Kluyveromyces lactis: one gene and its partners. The protein of the gene in region 2 interacts with the protein of the main gene of each other region in a pairwise test. Links are inferred from orthologs where the notes say so. Each region holds a gene or a part of one and is shown on either strand. Other genes may lie near its edges.

Region 1 (3,164 bases), on a different chromosome or scaffold from region 2:
TACGAAGGAGATTTCTCAGATATTATAGGGAGCTTAGATCTTGTCGGCAAGACTGAGTCCGCCGAGAGTTGGATGCATCCTGATTCATTTGGTGAAGTCTTACTCGGTCAGCAATGTGAAATTTGTGACACAGAGCTATATTCAGATCCTGGTCCAAATGATCTTGATTTGTGGCTTCATGCTTATCGGTACGAATCCACCGAGCTTGATTCTGATGGAAAAAAATTATGGAGTTACAGAACGGACTTCCCTGACTGGGCGATTGAGCCGCACAGAAAATTTATGGAGTTGGCGATAGATGAGGCAAGAAATTGTGGTGAAACTCAAACTGCCTTTAATGTAGGCGCACTCCTTGTCAACGGAACTGATATACTTTCCACCGGTTATTCGAGAGAATTACCAGGAAATACTCATGCTGAGCAATGTGCATTAGATAAATACTTCACAAAATCAGAAGGTGCGAAACTTCCAGATGGAACCATCATTTACACAACAATGGAACCTTGTTCTCTAAGGCTCAGTGGTAACTTGCCATGCGTAGACCGAATAATCCAAACAACTGGCGCTATAAAGACTGTCTTCGTGGGTGTTATGGAACCGGACATTTTTGTCAAGAATAATACCAGCTATCACAAGTTGGCACAATATGGAATCGACTATATTCTCATTCCTGGTTATGAGGAAGAGTGCTTAAAGGTTGCATGTAAAGGTCACGACAAAACCCAGAACTAAGCTTATCAAAAATCACTGGTGATTTTGTTTTGTAGGAAACTATATTTGTTAACATGCAATTCCAAGATAAACCCGTCACAAAGTTTGTGAATTGTATAGTGAAGATATATATCGCACACAAATGTCGGCAAAACAGTCTAACCACTTTGAAATCCAACCCTGTTTATATCAATCCGTTCATACATAGACATTTTGTAATTGAAGGTATTTAGCAAAATCCAAGATGTTAGAAAACGGTTGAAACAGCAAAAACACTAATAGCTTCTAAAGCGATTATACAGGACGTTTGTAAATGATCCAATTTGAATGTGGTATTACAGAGTAACAGCCAATACTATTATTATTATTATGCACATTATTATTGGTGCTTGTCTGTGCTAGTTTCCTTGTCACAATTCTCTGAAGTAGTTACCCTGACCATACCAATCATTTGAAAAGCTCTATGTGAACCTTCTCTTACAGAGGAGCATAGAAAAGAACTTCTGATGAACCGATGACCTATATCAAGATATCTAAATCTCTTACTCAGCACCTCAAGAACTGCCAAAGGATTTCCGAAATGATAGACGGTCGTATTATCTCCAACGACGAAAATAGAATTGCTGACCTCTATACATATTCACAAATCATCAAGTTGGAGCATTCTATTACTGATTTAGTAAAGCAACTAAAGACAGTTATTGAACTCTCACCAAATATCAAACAGTATCACCAGGCACTAGACCAGTTACCTACAATGTCTAGCGATTTGATCCCATCTTTTGATAGATACCAGCTTAAGTTGGCCGCTGAATTGACTTCATTGTATCAACTGGGTAAACTAGAGCTATTCAATAATATTATTCATTACAGTGATAAGTTCAAAAGTGGAAGCTCCACACCGATATTACCTGAACTACAAAATGAAAACCTTGATTTACTCTCAGCCAATGTTACCAAATCATTACATATAAATTCTCACGAAAATTCAAAAGCTACCGATGAGGAAGAAGAGGAAGACGATGATGAAGATGGATATGAGGTTATAGATAATGCAGTGACTGATCTAAAAAAAGGTAAAGAATGGCCTCCGAAACTGCCGAAAATCAAAAACCCTGTGATCAGGGCTCGTGTCTTTATTCATAAATCAATGATTAACGATAAACTGTATTTAACTGACCAAGAAATTATCAGATCACATAATGAAAGACTGGAGTTTTTAGGTGATTCCATATTGAATACAACAATGACCACTATCATTTATAACAAGTTTCCACATTTTGATGAAGGGCAACTCTCTCAACTCAGAATGAGATTGATCAACAACGAGCTGTTAAAAGAATGGTCTTTTCTATACAAGTTTCCAGATGAATTGAAGACTCACAATGTAAAACCTGATGACAACAAAGATGGAAAACAAAAGCTATACGCTGATGTTTTTGAAGCTTACATTGGTGGCTTAGTAGAAGATAATGGTAAGAAAAACCTTCCAAAAATAAGGAAATGGCTTGCGAAATTGGCAGAACCTGTTATATCAAAGGGACTAAATTCTGACATAACACTAGAAAATACGACAGAAGTTGATGTAAACGCCAAGAAAACCCTTTACTCTTTGATCGGATATGCAGCGCTAAATCTCCATTACTACCCTGTCCACAAACCAACCTCTACTGACCCAAATGCCATAGTGGAATGCAGGATTACTGGCGGTAAAGTATTGGGCAGAGGTGTCGGAAAGAACATAAAGATAGCAGGAATGCGTGCTGCAGAGGACGTCTTAAATAATAAGGAGCTAATAGAGAAATACGTGAGCCTGCGAGCTTCCCTCCCAAAATCTGAATCTGTGATTAAGGCAAACAATGATAATACCAAGAAGCGGAAACACGAAGGTCACAGTAATGATCGCGGCAAATTAAAACTACTAGCAGATGGATCTTTTGCATTCAAATAGTTTTTTGTTGTATTTTTTCTTAACGAGTACGATAAATGCATACAAATTCTAGGCTTAAACTATCTAATCTATAAACTGCTTATCAGTATGTATTCTTTTTGAGGGTGGTGAAGACACCACGTTAGCGTTAAGGTTGTGACTATCATTTGGTTGGTCGTCAGCAGAAGTAACGGTTTTACGTTTTCTTTTGTGTTCTACCCCTTCATGTTCACGTTGCACAAGTGTTAATAGAGTGGCTATTCTCTTAGAAATATCCAAAGGTGTCCTTGTTTTAATAAACCAAGAAAATATGAACAATGGACTTTTCAGTATTTCCTGCTTGACTCTTTCATATAGATTACTGGCAAACAAACCCAAGTTACCGACAGTAACGAGTAAAAATATATCTTCTAATGAATTGTAAGTTCTTCTGGTATTGTTGGGAGGATATAATATTTTCAATTCTACTAAGGGATACTGATATTGCTGAAGCTTCTGCTTCAAAATTGTTTCCTGTATCTTT
Region 2 (4,018 bases):
ATGGTATATCCAGGTTGCTACGTGAGCATGGTTATCAATCTCGTGGGTTCGAAGTAATGTATAATGGTCATACCGGTAAAAAGTTGATGGCACAAATTTTCTTCGGCCCTACATACTACCAAAGATTAAGGCATATGGTGGATGATAAAATTCACGCGAGAGCAAGAGGTCCGATGCAAGTACTAACAAGACAACCCGTGGAAGGTAGATCCAGAGACGGTGGTTTAAGATTCGGTGAGATGGAACGTGATTGTATGATTGCTCACGGTGCCGCCGCCTTCTTGAAGGAAAGATTAATGGAAGCTTCGGATGCATTCAGAGTACACATTTGCGGTATCTGTGGGTTAATGTCAGTTGTTGCAAAGTTGAAGCACAATCAATTTGAATGTCGTTCATGTAAAAACAAAATTGACATTTATCAAGTGCACATTCCTTATGCAGCTAAGTTACTATTCCAAGAATTAATGGCCATGAATATTGCACCACGTCTTTACACTGACCGTTCAAAGGATTTTTAATAAACATATATTGAATGCATGATATCGCTCTTGCGATGTCTTTTAAAAAGGTAATGTAAAAAATAAAATTAAACTTAAAATTAAGCAATAATTTGTACTGGTTTATAATGTTTTGTAGAATATAAAGAAAATAATTTAAAAGCAACAATTAGCATTGTATTATGAAACCCCCTTAGTAAGTAGTTAGAACTGCCATAAACAACTATATACACTATCTTGTCTTGTTCTTTTTCTTTTGTCCCAATTCACTGTTCGTTCTTACACTGTCGCCAATTTTCACATCAAACTGGAAAAGTCGAAAATCATAACTTGCTTCAAGAATTTTTAACCATTCATACTAACTGCAACATATAGTAGTGACATATTTGATCCTGGGAGATTTAATAACCATCTTTACTGCTTGAAGTAATACTTCACTGGCGTAGGGGAAATCTAATTACCTGCTACTGTATTACTTATTTAAAGACCGCACCTTTTGGTGCTGCATTATCACTTGGATATCCACCTTTTATTAGCATCAACTGAATTCGCAAGGGATACAACATATAAGAGACTCTATTACCTCTTTAGGCACCTATCCTCTAAACTTTATACCATTATTTGAGATCAGTTAATTGCTGACTATTGGACGTTGAAATATTGTAACAATTGAAATAATTGAAGAAATACGCGTAACAACATTCTTCCAACTTTTTAACGATGAGCATGAATCTAACTAGTATCGATCCTCAAATTAGATCAGTTATTCTTCCATTCAAGAATAAAATTCTAGATTCGCTTGCAGATAGGGTCGGTCCTGATTTTGAAGAACTTTCGTTGGTTACAAAGGTGGTAGAGACCGTAGGACCTCTCATACATGACAAGAATTACCATTTCTTCTGCGATCCTGATTTAGGTCCTGTTATCAGTTTCCTGGTCATAATTTTCTCCGTTCCACGGGAACAGCAGGCGATCCAGTGGTACTGTGATAAGTTTTCTCCAATTTTAGCATCGTGTCCAAACTGTTCCCAGGCATTCTTTTCTTATAAGAATCAGATCATTCAACGTTATATCGTGAACAAAGGCATTGCGTACTCTAACATCGATGGGTTTGATCTAATGATCTGCAGATGGAGATCGGATACTTTAATTAAAAGATTGGGATCTATCAAATCTAAAGATCTTTCTAATGAACAAAAAATTGCATTCACGGAATGCTTCTGGTATCCAAGAGTATTGAAACATTCCCAAAGTTTGAAGGTGTTGTTCAACAATGCATTCGATATATTGGTACGGGAAAAATCACCATTATTAGAGTATTCCTCGGATAATTCTCTATCAGCATTAACGGCAGGCTCTGTCTTTATGTTGATGGAAGGAACTCCAGCTCAGATATCATGGGCACTGGGGCTATTAGATTGGCTATACGAACGAAATTATAAAATTACTGTTGAAAATCTTCCTCTGGGAGCTCTACAGGAAGTAAACACACATTATATTTACTTGATCAGTAAGCAATTTGGCAAGGATCAACAACACAACATCAACTCCCTAAACTCCATGGCAATTGCATGGATTAGATTGACGGCTCTTTTCAGCTTAATGACGAAGGAAGTTTTAGAGCTTCACTTTCTAGTACCAAAATTCACCCGAAGTTTGAAAAACGCAGGAACAATGGATGTTCCTTCAATCATTCATTTGTGGTATAATTGGTTCTCCGTTCCTGATCCTGCTAGACCGTTGGATGTTATGTTGAAAGTACTAAGCCTTTTTTTAGAGAAATTTGGCCAGGATTTTTGGTTATACTTGAAACCATTTAATTTCCACACATTATTGGACCTTATATTTGCTCAGGGTACTTTTGCTAACACGTTATTGAGGAAACAAGATTTTCCTATCTTACGTGATGGCAAAGAAACATGGCTTTCCTTAACTGGGTCAATTTCTGACTTAATAACATGGTGCATACCGTTTTACAATTCATTATCTTCTGCCAAAAAGATGCAAATGGTGAAGAAGATATCTACTGGATTTCTTATGACAATATGTGAATGTAACAAGATGTTACAAACGCTACCGAAGCTTCTTTTGATGAGTTATTCTTTACAGTTATTGAATAACGTGTTGGAAATAGATGACAAGAAGAGAGCATTGTTGTATACGAACTCGGACCTTCAAAATGAGCTCCTCACTGTGGCTGACTGCAGGAAGGTTGTGAACCACCTGAAGATATCACAACTACTATGCGATACTGTCCAGGCTCCCGACAAAGTTTTTCCTGGCATGCAGGTAGATGCCTTGTCACTCAATGCTATGAAAGTCTTATCTCATTGTATCGAATATGATATCTTAAATTTATGTGAAACCACCTTCAAATTGTACACTGGAGGATCTGTCAATAAACACCACATATTAGATCTCGATATGAAGCGGTTTTTTTTAAATCCTTTGGTCCACAGTTTGAATTTAATGTCACTGGGATCAAATGGACCTAAACATGTCCTACATATAATGACAGCATTGACTAACGCCAACGGATTAATGATATTAAATGTTAAAGGATTAGAAGCAGAAAACCAGAACAAAATTACAAGTGGATACATCAACATTATCCGCCAACTAGTTATGAAATGTTCTGAGCTTCCGTCTGAAAAATTAATTGGAGTTCTTGCGAACAGGAAAGCCGCCCATGGGCTATGGTCCTGTCTCTTTTCCTCAGATACAGACTTGTATCAAGAAACAACTAACATCCTTTATGAGGTCTTCAACGTCGAAGGGCGTCTGGAAGGTTTGCATGAACTTTTTAAAAGTAATTTATCGACGAGCTTGCATTGTATATCCATCGTTTTGAGACAGTTAACGAAAACAAAATTTTTTGAACCATGCCCTAGAGCTATAAGAGTTATGATGGACGTTCTCTCACTCTTCAATGAGCCAGTCACCGGTATTTTTTCTGATTTTGAGAAGTTTAAAGATTCAGATTCAAATGATGAACTATTCAGTTTTTGGCGTTCTTCATGGACATTTTTGGATATGATTTATCTAGAAACCATTCAATGGACCTCAAGGTATTCAAATGTGGTATTGGAGAATTTCACAAGAGATGTGCTAGAGGTTAGCAATATGCTAATGGGTTCTTATAGGGAGTTCTCCGATGTTTTAGTCAAGGGAAATATAACTGAAGATGATCTTTTCAAATTCCCAATGAGCCCATTCAAAAATATGCTTTACTGGTTGAGGTTGAATGATGAACAGCTTCTTGCCTCTTGTGTCATGTTAATAGTATCAGCTTCTGATCTTGCGAAGGAGAAACAATTTCGATTTGATGAAATGCTAGTGTTGGATATGGCAAGATATGCTTCAAAAGCTCGAAAATATCCAAACAAACTTTCAGCGGCTCAGAGCCAAGAGCTTCTTGAAAGATCCCGTTACTTCAACAAAGCCTTGACAAACGAAGTTGTTAAAGAATCTGAAAAGTATCACTTAGAAAAAGCATTACTGAAAAAGGGTACTAAACCTTC
Region 3 (4,230 bases), on a different chromosome or scaffold from region 2:
CTGGCATTGTCATCATGCTCATGAGACCTCACTGATTCCTTACAAGCATCAATATTCCCCTCTACAACTTCCTCCCCCAACGATTCATCCTTAGACACGACGGCATCAAGCCCACGCACTGAAATAACTGCCATTACTTACTGTTTCCTTTATTATTCTGAATACCGGTTTAAAGCTTGTAAATGTTTAAAGGTTTAATTAAGTCTTTAATGGAATGATGGCTCAACTTTTAATATTTCTCTTGAATTGAAAAGAAATGAAAATTTCAAAGGAAAAGGAAAAAAAAACTGGAAATGAGAGAATATTAATTATGGGTACTTTATATACATTTATATTAGAAGTTTGTCTGGTCATATATTTTGAATCGGACGCAGATGGAGAATAGACCTCGTATTTATACGTTTTATGTGCTACAATAGATATCGTGCCCAATCTTGTGAATTTGTTTTTTTAGTTCCCAGATGATATAATGACTCTGGTTGGGTCTGAGACAGATAAGGTATCCCGGATTGCAACTACCCCTCTGTAAGTTACCTCAAGTCATTCACTGGCATATATCTCTACATATAAAAATATAATGATAATTATGCTAACAATTCTAGCCCTTTGTATCTTGGTCCGGAAATCGGTAAGTAACTTCCTCTTTTTTTTTTTGCTAAACGATATCCTTTCCCTACAGGGACACCCAGAAGAAATCGGGAGCAGTATTAGCCAGCCACTACAGATACCACACATCAGTGTTTCTAACATTCATCCAGAACCGAGAAAAATCTGTTAAGTTTCGGGAAAAAACAGTGACCTCTAAGAACTCGGCTTTCATAGAGGTATGACTTGTGATAAGTAGTTCTCCACTTAAAAAAATCTTTTAAATCTTTCCAGTGGTATCAGAAGAATGGTCGACTTTACATTGTGTAGTACGCTAAGTTTCAGTACCAGTAACGTACTGCGCCAGGTCCGTCTTCTCTGTTGAACATCTTCCCTTGTCTAGCGTCAGCACCTGATTGTTGCCGTTTTCTTTGTTCATTCAAATTTTCAGTTTGTTTTTCAAATTAATTTTTCGAAAAAAAAAATTTTCAAAAATTAAAACTGACGCTGACGCGCGACATAGATGGAATTAGTATCCCATTTTCAAGGGGAACAGCATTTGAAGCTCCCGGAGTCTATCAGATAATGCTGTGAAGTATGGTTTTACTTACTGCCGCTTGAGGGGCTTAGTTACGCTTCTGATATAATTTTTTTTGACTTTGGGGTTGGCGGGTCTCACGTGATATTAGCATTATTCATTACCCGGACACAAATTAGTCTCTATTTATAAGCCATACATTTGCCTTTATGCATTAAGTGTAAAGAACTGTTGCAGTCTTCAACTCATCTTACAGCAGGTACTGACTGGCGACCTCCACATGCACCAGCTCCAGTCAATAATCCATGGGTGTTCATTCATTATGGGATATAGTGTCGCCTGTGGCTAAACCGGTTCGGTTAGAGTCCCTCAATGAGAGGAGAATGGCAGTCGATGCCTCCATTTGGATTTATCAGTTTCTTAAAGCGATGAGAAATAAGGAAGGTGATGCCTTGAGAAACGCCCATATCATAGGTTTTTTCAGAAGAATATGTAAGTTGTTATACTACGGGATTAAACCTGTGTTCGTCTTTGATGGCGGTGTTCCTGTGTTGAAGCTAAATACAATCCGTGAGAGGAAAGAGAGAAGACAGGGGAAAAGAGATACTGCCAATGCTACTGCTAGACGGTTACTTGCAAGGCAAATCCACCAGTCACAGACAGATAAAGAGTCTTCACCAAAAAAGAAGAAGCAGTCACCGGATGAAAATGGCCAGACAGGCTCAGAGACTGGATCGTTTTTTTATCCTCACGATGAGTACCATTTACCGGAGATTAAAGGGTTCTCATATGAAAAAGATGATCTAAGAATTACTGACACTGACGATTATAAGACCGTTATGGAACAAATCGATGACTTAGATGGTATAGATTTGGATTCCATCAATCCAGCTTCAAAAGAATTCGATGAATTACCGAAATCAACTCAGTATTTGATTCTTTCAGCCTTAAGGTTGAAATCCAGATTGAGATTGGGTTATACAAAGGAACAGTTAGAACATGTCTTCTCAGATAGTATGGAGTTTTCAAAGTTCCAGATTGAAATGGTTAAAAGAAGGAACTTCTTTACACAGAAATTAATGAATGTAACTGGAATGCACGATGGCGGTGCTTCAAAATTAGACGACGAAGTCGTCAACAGAGTATCTGGACAAAGGGATCGGAAATATGCCTTGATACGTACAGATAACGGATGGGCTCTAAGTCTTACGGGTAACGATGGGTCAGAATCCACTAAGGCAATAAAGTTAGATGAAGACGAAGAAGAGGATGCGAGCCAGCTAGATTGGGAAGAAGTTGATACCAAACCAAAACCCAAGAAAAAACAACTGGATTATTCGATGAACGCTTCTTTGTTGCCTCGCTTATCAACAACTAAGACACAAGGTGGAAGTCAATCGTTTTTTGATAAGAGACCTGACCTTGCACCTAGTACGTCACATTTACTCGACGAAGATGAGGACGACGGAACAAATGACCATCCTGCCGTTAATAATGTCGAAAAGGAAGACGATAACGATAGTAACGAAGATGACTATGCGATGTTGTTGAAAGAGACAAAAGCGATGTCAGAATATCAAAGAAGACAAAAAGAGTTACCGGTTCAAAAAAATATCATACCACAGGTGGAGGTAAACATCGAAAGCACGGAATCAGAGTCAGATGGAGAGTTCGAAGACGTCAACTTCAAACCAACCGTTATTAGTAATTCTGAAGGCGGGCCTTCTAATTCAGCTGCGCATAGACCATCGAATGATAACACTGTTTCTTCGATAGTGGAAAAACCTAGTGCCATTCCAATAATTGACCATAAGGTGTCCCAGCAAAATCTTGATTCAATTGTCAGTAAGATACCGGAATTCTCTTTTTCATTGAGTATGAGAGGTAAGGCGTTTGAAGACAACGAAAAATCAGAGCCAGGGGAAACTGCTCCGACATCAACTGATACTCAAGAGAAACAGGCTCAGGAAGTTCCAGCGTGGTTCTCCTCCACCGCCAATAGAAACCCATATTCGAGCAGCTCTTTCGTCGCAGATAGGGAGAAGAGTGATGTAAGACCTGAAGATCAGTACGGGATCTTGACTGGTGAAGCTGCACAGGAGCTGGTTAAAAATAGAATTGGCTATCACCATCCAGAACTGATAGACTTAGATCAATTAGAGCGGGATGATAATGAAGATGAAGTTGAAGATGATGCCGTAATTGAAGTCTCTAAACGAGATTTGAACGAACAGAAATCTCCTTCTGGGAAAGGTTTTTCAACCACAAAAGACAGTACCTCCAGTAGGATTTCTGAAGGTAACGATTCAGACTCAGATAACTTGGTTGAATCCGAATCTGCAGCTACTCGTGAACAACTTCCTATTTTAGACTACGACTTTTATGAAGATGAAGAAGAACGCCTAGCTGAGCAACTAACGAGGGAACAAGAAGACTACAACCACTTCAAATCTACTTTGAATCCAAACTTGGTGAACACTGCATTTTTAGAAGATGAACTCTTTGAGCAGCAGAAGAAGGATAAGAGGGATGCGGATGAAGTCACCATAGAGATGATTCATGAAATTCAGAGTCTTTTATCACGGTTTGGTATACCGTACATCACGGCACCAATGGAAGCAGAAGCTCAATGTGCAACTTTATTACAGTTGAAACTAGTAGATGGTGTTATTACGGATGATAGTGATGTTTTCTTGTTTGGGGGTACTCATGTTTACAAGAATATGTTTCAAGAGAAGAACTATGTCGAATATTATAGTTTAGATTTGTTTGATCAAAAACTTGGTCTTGATAGGGATAAATTGATACAATTAGCACAACTACTAGGAAGTGATTATACCCCTGGCCTTAGAGGTATAGGACCTGTAATGGGAGTAGAGATTTTAGCCGAATTCGGATCTCTTAAAGAGTTTGCCAAGTGGTACAACGAAGGTCAATTTGATAAGCAAAAGCTAGAAGGGGAAACTGCTTTCCAAAAGCAATTGAGAAAAAGGTTGGTTAGTAATGAAATCATCTTGGATGACAACTTCCCCAGTGAAGCTGTATATGATGCCTATATCCACCCCACAGTCGACGCGGATAAGACTAAATTTGTGTGGGGGTCTCCA

The links.
Region 1: the proteins of SEN1 (region 2) and RNT1 interact in a two-hybrid assay, tested with the Saccharomyces cerevisiae proteins (3 studies listed by BioGRID). The link is inferred for Kluyveromyces lactis from reciprocal best matches to the Saccharomyces cerevisiae genes SEN1 and RNT1.
Region 3: the proteins of SEN1 (region 2) and RAD2 interact in binary tests that used the Saccharomyces cerevisiae proteins (3 or more experiments, as listed by UniProt). The link is inferred for Kluyveromyces lactis from reciprocal best matches to the Saccharomyces cerevisiae genes SEN1 and RAD2.

The regions. Positions count from the first base shown.
Region 1 is NC_006042.1:2,307,117-2,310,280, forward strand, and holds RNT1 (ribonuclease III), read left to right. Parts: upstream 1-1,225; coding exon 1,226-2,662; downstream 2,663-3,164. Other genes in the region: KLLA0_F24794g (uncharacterized protein), read left to right, coding at 1-732; ISW2 (DNA translocase), read right to left, coding at 2,726-3,164. UniProt on the Saccharomyces cerevisiae protein: DsRNA-specific nuclease that cleaves eukaryotic pre-ribosomal RNA at the U3 snoRNP-dependent A0 site in the 5'-external transcribed spacer (ETS) and in the 3'-ETS. In vitro, cleaves synthetic 5'-ETS RNA A0 site in the absence of snoRNA or other factors.
Region 2 is NC_006038.1:498,190-502,207, reverse strand, and holds the start of SEN1 (DNA/RNA helicase SEN1), read left to right. Parts: upstream 1-1,217; coding exon 1,218-4,018. Other genes in the region: DNA-directed RNA polymerase II subunit RPB2, read left to right, coding at 1-518. UniProt on the Saccharomyces cerevisiae protein: ATP-dependent 5'->3' DNA/RNA helicase required for the expression and maturation of diverse classes of non-protein-coding RNAs like precursor tRNAs, rRNAs and small nuclear (snRNA) and nucleolar (snoRNA) RNAs.
Region 3 is NC_006037.1:821,478-825,707, reverse strand, and holds the start of RAD2 (ssDNA endodeoxyribonuclease RAD2), read left to right. Parts: upstream 1-1,428; coding exon 1,429-4,230. Other genes in the region: TNA1 (Tna1p), read right to left, coding at 1-134. UniProt on the Saccharomyces cerevisiae protein: Single-stranded DNA endonuclease involved in excision repair of DNA damaged with UV light, bulky adducts, or cross-linking agents. Essential for the incision step of excision-repair.